Linked DNA regions of Nothobranchius furzeri. The protein of the gene in region 1 interacts with the protein of each later gene in a biochemical or structural test. Links are inferred from orthologs where the notes say so. Each region holds a gene or a part of one and is shown on either strand. Other genes may lie near its edges.

Region 1 (3,757 bases):
TCTGAAGAGGAAAACCAAAATCTCCCCAATGAAGGTAATGACCACAAAGAAGCAACATATCAAAGCACAAAGAGGACTCAAATGCAGAGCTCACCCAGTTTTAATAAGCAGAAGGGATTCCTGGAGTACAACACAACTGAAAAGTCCAAATCTAACTGAATACACTTTTACCAAGTGTTTCTGAGAGCAGGTTCACATCACACAACAGGAGAAGACAAACTGGCAAAGGAAACTGTTGCAAAGACGCTTAAATGGAGAAGCCAGGACCCAGGTGCAAGACATGAGGCTGATTAGTGAGGAGCCTCATGTCGTGAAGCTGCCTGTAATGAGACAGGAAGTGAATGCACAAAATAAAACAGGAAGTACCAGAAATACAATAAAATCAGAAACAAGACTGCAAAGCACTCAACCTGCAGAATCACCCATGACACAACAGAACAACGTGGCAACAGCAGAAACCCGGCAAAGGGACAAAACTGAGGAGTATTCCTGCAGGGAGGGACGGTCCAGGTTAGATAATGGTACCAATAACTCTTAAAGAAATTCAATAATGTCACCTTCCTTCTACACTCAGTCTAATTTGAATCAAAACAAACCATTCTCTGAGCTTAACGTCCACAGGAGCCACATCAAAAACCAAAGATGAAGCTTCAGCAAACGTTTAAACTAATGCAACGACATCAGACGGAAACACAAACACGATTCGTAAACATCTAATAAGGGTTCAGTGATGGGACATAGATGTTGCTGAATATTAATGCTGCAGTTTGTGGACGGTCCCTAAACCCTCATTTCACATCCGGTGTTGTGCTGACTTCTGCTTCCCCATTAAAACCAACCCTCTCAGGCTTACACAGGCAACATAACACCTTCCGCACATAAACACCAATCATATATCAAATTCCTGCCACAACAGTTTTATACCTGGCCCTGACTGGGGTCTGTAGGATGGAAATGCACACCAACGTGATTAATTCACAAAAGAAAGCTACGGCATAACCTGCCGTTAAATGGAACAAACAATGTTTTAATCAACAAGTCTGCTGGAGTTTTCCTCCCTACGCATTTCAGAACATGCTCCCTGATCCACCGGTACATGTGTCAGGCCGTGTTCATACGTGGAAAATGCACATGAAGGAATGACCAAATCCCCATTCACATGTTTGTGATTTCTCCATGACGAGCGTGATGACGAGCATGTTCGATGCAATATACACACATGTAGACACGGAGCTCCCCTCAAGCCTGCAGACTCTGAGCTAACATGCAAATCAGAGGCAGCAACAGAGAGATGGAAAAGAGAAGAACGTCACAAACACAGAGGTGAATTTACCTACCACACATGGGCAGAGAGAAGGGAGCTTAGTGCGGCCCTTCATGAGCAAGAGACAGAGGAAAAACAGCCTCCCAGACACCCGCAGTAAAGGAGGGGAGGGATGGGGAGAAAGAAAGAAAGAAAGAAAGAGAGAGAGGGGGGGGGGTGCGAGGCTGGGGAAGGGGAAGAGGAAATAAAAAGAGAGGGAGGGCGAGACAAGAGGAGGGAGGGACGTGTCGTACCAGACGAGGAGCGAGAGTTTTCCTGGAAGCCAGAGTTGTTGCTGTTGGATATATCTTGATATTAAAGGCAAGAGGCTGAAAAGACGGGACGAGCGGTCTGCTCCGACCGTGACTCATAAAAATATGTTGGCTGCTGCCGATGAGTGAGGGAGGGACAAGGAGAGGAGACGTAGAGACAGTGAATCAACCCTCCGTAGTATGTTATCATCGCTGCCTCTTTCTTTTGCTCCTGCGCTGAAACAATGTCAGAAATAAAGAGCCCATAGAAAAGTGTCTGTTACATAAGAGGGAACTTGTTTCATAAATATTCAACATGCAGATTTCTGACACTTCTGTGCATCCATATCATTTTATTCTCTGTGCAGATCCTCCTTCACACGTCTTCATTTATCAGACTCATGCTGCTGATCCTCCTCGAAGATCCTGAACGACTACAAAGTTTTGGCCATTATTGGAGCCAGTCTAGTCTCTCCCGAAGGGGAAAAAGTAGATTCCTACAGAAAACTGGTCCAACATTGATGTCTGTCCTGCTTTTGCAGAATTCCCACGAGAATCTTAACAGGATGGTTTGTTGGGATGATAACACTCTGAGCTGTCCTGCTAAAACTTTTAAATTCTAAGGTTTGGTGGAAGACGTTTTCTGAGGTGAGCGAGACAGAGGAAGGACTGAAGCACTCATCCATCCATGGTCTTATATGTAACCAGGTTGCAGAGACTGCAGCCTTAGCAGAGATCCCTACACCTCCCCCCATTTCCCCAGCGACCTCTTCCAGCCCTACCGAGGGAAAACCAAAGCATTCCCACACCAGCTAGGAAATCTAACTACTCCATTCCTACTAAATCTGTTTGGAGGCCTCCTCCTGGTGGGTCATGCTGGAAACAGGTACCCAGAGGACATCCTTAGCAGATGTGCCAATGATCTCAGCTGGCTCACGCTGATGCAGAGGAGCCGTGATTCTCCTCGGCACTGATGAGCTGCTCAGATGAATCTGAACTCACTCTTCTCCACAGGAAGATGGTAATGTCCACATCATCGATGTTCAGGGACCATTTGGGTTTCATGGACCAACAGTGATCTTCCAGAACGCCTAGCAGTAACAACTGGAAGTGAGGTGTGCAGTCACAAGCATTCTTTAAGTCCACAACGTAAAAACTGGGATGTTTATGCTAGCATGTTCTTGAGTAACTGACAAGTGCGTTCTTGATAAGTACAGGAGAAAGTCCGTTCTAACGAATACGGGGGTACAAGGACGGCATTTGGATCTGAACCGTACTCCATTACGTCACGGCATGTTGAAGAAAAATATGTTACTTTTTCATCAAACAGAGCTGTTTAAAGCTACGTTGGTTTTATTTTAATAGTGGATGAGCTAAGTTTCATTTTGAGGTATTATAAAACCCACACAGCAAATGTATGGGTTACACGCACAGTTATCTATGGTGGGCTACACAGTTGTTAGCGTTAGGTTTACATTCCAACCTGGGGTCTTTCTGCATGGAGTTTGCATGTTCTCGCTGTGCATGCACAGGTTCTGTCCAGGTACTCCCACTTCCTCCCACAGTCCAAAAACATGACGTTCAGGTTGACTGGTGTCTCTAAAGTGTCCTTAGGTGTGAATGTTTGCATGGTTAATTGTTTATCCTGTGTGTCTCTGTGTTGCCCTGCGATGGACTGGCAATCTGTGCAGGGTGTACCCGCTTTTATACCCGTAGACTGCTGGAGATAGGCACTAGCCCCCCGTGACCCTGCGTGGACAAGCGGGTACAGATAATGAATGGATGGATGGACAATTATCTACAATAAGAAACAACTTTTAATTTATTTTTCTAGACTTCATTATTTGTATTTTTGACATGAATACTCTAGAGCTACGAGCTTTCTCCTATGCCATTTTCAGTTTGAGGTACAACGGTTTGTAATCCTAAGCATGATGAATTACAAGCCACTGTCCTTGCAGGCCCAAGTCTGCAGAAGGTTGCGTTGACGCAATCTTGAGGGAACTTGCCATGGTAGATTGGAACAATACTTGGGCCAGTGTTGATGATGATGCCATTTTCAGTGACGTTTCACAAGTACGCATATTGAGAAACTTGTCACGTTTCGGGGATGTTTAGGACCCAAATATGCAGATACCCAGGAGGACATGAGGCAGGAGTAAATATAAGGAAAAAATTATTTTATTAGAGTTTTAACAAAAAT
Region 2 (3,657 bases), on another chromosome or scaffold:
GTTCTTTCTGTACATGCCATTTAAGGCTTGTTTGAAAATAAACTAGCCATTCATTCATCATGACCCTCACTGGTAAAGCTCCTTTCAGAGTTATGGGACTCCAAAGCGCATTACACTACAATGTATCATTCACACACGCGTGCGCGCGCACACACACACACACACACACACACACACACACACACACACACACACACACACACACACACACACACACACACACACACACACACACACACATTGATGGTAATGTGAGCTGCATTGTAGCCACAGCTGCCCTGGGGTGCACTGACAGAGGTGAGGCTGACGAGCACAAGTGCCACCGATCCCTCCAACCACCATCAGCAGGCAATGCGGGTTACATATCTTGCCCATGGACACAACAGCAGCATTCTCTGCTGGGGTCTGGGATCGATCCTACAAACCAACAATTAGCTGTACATCCTGAGCTACTGCTGCTGACTAATGTTAGTCAACCTGACAAAGACCAAAATCCAGAGAAGTAAAGAGTTGGCCCCCAAACTCTCTAGATACCAGTCCAATGGAAGCATCTGTAGAAACCAAGCCCAACTCGCAACCTCTTCCCCTTAGATTCACAGGGTTCAAAAGATGTCTGATATCCAGGTTTTCAACACTTATTTCCTTTGTGCATGGTATAATGGGTCTGTGTTGGTGTTTTGTTTAATTTACTCACTGCAGTTAAGTTCATCAGATCCATCCCTGCAGTCTTGCAGTCCATTGCAGTGCTGAGAGTTACTGTAACAGGCCCCGTTAGCACAGGTCTTCTCGGTGCACTGTGGATAATCTGTAGGAAACAAGCTTACTCCAGCTATTAAATAGTTGCAATTTCAGAAAAACCTTAACTGATTTGAAAGCAAAACATCGGATACTAAACTATTATGATGCATCACAGACAGAATAAGAATCTTACTGCAGTTCCTCTCATCGGAGTTGTCCACACAGTCCATCATGTGGTCACATCTGTAACTAAGAGAGATACACTGGCCTTCCTGGCAGGTGAACTGGTTTGGGCTGCAGGTTCGTCCACCTGAAACATGTAACGTCCAAAAGGGTCAATTTTCACCTATATATTAACCAACATAATAACCTTTCATCTACAGAAATAAATCCACTTTCTGTTTGGCCTTCCAAAACCAGAAGGTTCTGCTCATTGCGTGTTTCCATAAAGTAGATAAAACACCCAGACAAACATTCTCTCCCAAGGTTCCTGCACTCACTGCATGAAAGCCAGACATCAACATTCTTCACTCTGAATAAATGAAGACTCCATGATTTTAAAACTCATAAACTTACAATAATCATATGTGATGAATGAACAAGATGTTTAAAGGGACTTTACGGAGTTTTGAATTTTTATGCTCGCGATTGCCCCTTCAGGCCAAAAGCATAACGGCAGCTTCAATAGTAGTCTCGTGCACGAGGCGGCATGCTGTTCGTGCACACTCCTTAATCAAAATAAGAGCTGAGACAGTCCCTTGTGTGTGTGTGTGTGTGTGTGTGTGTGTGTGTGTGTGTGTGTGTGTGTGTGTGTGTGTGTGTGTGTGTGTGTGTGTGTGTGTGTGTGTGTGTGTTTGTGTGTGTGTGTGTGTGTGTGCGTGTGTGTGTGTGTGTGGCCCAGAGGACAGAGGGCAGGAGAACGTGCAGCTAATTAATTAAATAATTTGGTTCTGTATGCTTCATACACAGCCGACAAAGGTTTAAGATGGGTCAGTCCTGCATGTTCAGATCATTCCCTTCCCTTGCTTGAAAAATTGTTCCAAAATAAAATTTGAACCCACATCTTTTTTATCTGTGAATTCAATGCCGTTCGGCGAGTCTCAAATAAAAATTTGGGCATCTTACTGTAAAAAAAATCGACCATTAATGTAAAAAAGAAACTCTAAATAAACTATGTTCACATCCAGAATCAAACCTGGATCTTCTGCACGACAGTCCGACATCTTACTGGGTGAGCTAAACTGCTAGTAATGTCCTTTGTATCTGTAACATTTATATCCTTTATGACAGCTGAAACAATGTTCAAAGAACGATTCGGAGCGAAAATGGCTATTTTGTTGCTAATTTGTAGGAAATATCTTGAAGAAAGTTCTACAGAAAGTAGCTAAGAGTCCTCAGAAATGTAGCTAGCTTTGTCACTAGGCGTTAGGAACAGCGACAAAGACTAAAGCTACTGATAGCAAATGCTACGGGCTATGCCTGAGCGTGAACGCGCATGAAGCAGCCTGCTCGACCTGAGCAGCTCTCTTTTTCTGTGATTTTACAGAAAAACAGGCAATCACAATAAAAATGCCAGGGCTCATTCTACAGGACCAGGGCATTGCAGGAGAATGTATGAAGAAGACATTTATTATTTCCATACATGTTTTGGCTGTCAAACTTCCATAATGCCCCTTTAAATGAAATGTTTGAAAAATCTGTGCTTAAATCAATGAATTTGAAATGAATATTTTTCTTACAATGATCCATTTACATCACAAATCACTATGTGTTTGATTTAACAAGTTAATCATTGTTTACACTCATACACATTACAGTAAGATACATATTAAGGTTAATATTCACCTCACATAAGAGTTTTAAAGATTCTTATTCACAGTGTTAAGAAATCTTTGTATCTGAAGAAGGGCGTGGCTTTCTGAGGGATGTTGGTAAATATGTCACACAGTGGAATGTGTGCTTTATGTTGCTTTAAATTATTTTAATAATTGTTGGAATTTCTTAACAGTTTTGTGTTATTGCATGATTTTGTTGTGTGTTGTTGGTTTTATGTGCATGTTTAGTTTAGATTGTTTTGCCACTGTTGACATGACAGTCACCTGAAGAGGTGGGCATGACTGTGAAAGCGCACCAAGTGTGCATAGTTAGCAGGCTGATAAAGGAAGGAAGCTGCAGAACTGCAGGAAGGAAAAAGAGACCAAAGAAACAAGAAGGCAGAGGGACTGGACTAATATAAGAGGACGTAGCACAGAACGGGTTGGATCGTGGGAGGAGCAGTTCATCCTTGGCGTGCAGCGACAACGAGTGGGAGCAACGCCTTTGAATGACAGCAGGGTGGAGGTAGGACCTCTGCCTGCATCCGTGAGTAGACGGCTTCCACTGTTGTATGTTGGGTGATGCTCCGAATGGGCCGATCCTACGGGAGGAGAAAGAGATTGCACTGCTTCACAGACAAAGGTTCTGCCCCAGTGATCTGTCCTTGTCAGGGAGGAGCGGCGAGAGCCCCCGGGAGATCACGCCTGAGACGAGCGCCTGATGAGAGCGAGACCAGAGACTGCTGGAGTCGGACGCCGAAGCCGGGACGTCGCCTTTCCCTTCCTGGAAATTCCCTCCGCGTGACTTTGTGGATCTCGGAGGAGCCCAAGTATCTTTGGGGGTTTTCTTGAAGAACAGGTTTTAATTGCTTTTATGGACTCAAACTTTTTTTTAGTTATATACTTTTAGACGGGGGCTTTATTTAGTTAATAAAAGAGGTCGCAGACAAACTTCTGCTCTCTTGTGTCTGTGTCCCTCTGGTTTTGCACCCTCGCTCTCCACCTGTGTCATTGTGAATCCCTGGTGTGGCGCCTGAGCTCTGCAGCTCCAGTGTTGCCTAGGTTACAAATACTCAGAAATGTGTCAAATTCTGATTGGCCAAAC

The links.
Region 2: the proteins of disks large homolog 4 (region 1) and lrp2b form a complex in vitro, tested with the Homo sapiens proteins (2 studies listed by BioGRID and IntAct, with this or other methods). The link is inferred for Nothobranchius furzeri from reciprocal best matches to the Homo sapiens genes DLG4 and LRP2.

The regions. Positions count from the first base shown.
Region 1 is NC_091750.1:46,442,093-46,445,849, reverse strand, and holds the start of disks large homolog 4, read right to left. Parts: upstream 2,536-3,757; 5' UTR 1,675-2,535; coding exon 1,558-1,674; intron 1,467-1,557; exon of another isoform or gene 1,380-1,466; coding exon of another isoform or gene 1,338-1,379; intron 1-1,337. UniProt on the Homo sapiens protein: Postsynaptic scaffolding protein that plays a critical role in synaptogenesis and synaptic plasticity by providing a platform for the postsynaptic clustering of crucial synaptic proteins.
Region 2 is NC_091756.1:35,640,670-35,644,326, forward strand, and holds part of lrp2b (low-density lipoprotein receptor-related protein 2), read right to left. Parts: intron 1,049-3,657; coding exon 932-1,048; intron 806-931; coding exon 695-805; intron 1-694. UniProt on the Homo sapiens protein: Multiligand endocytic receptor. Acts together with CUBN to mediate endocytosis of high-density lipoproteins. Mediates receptor-mediated uptake of polybasic drugs such as aprotinin, aminoglycosides and polymyxin B.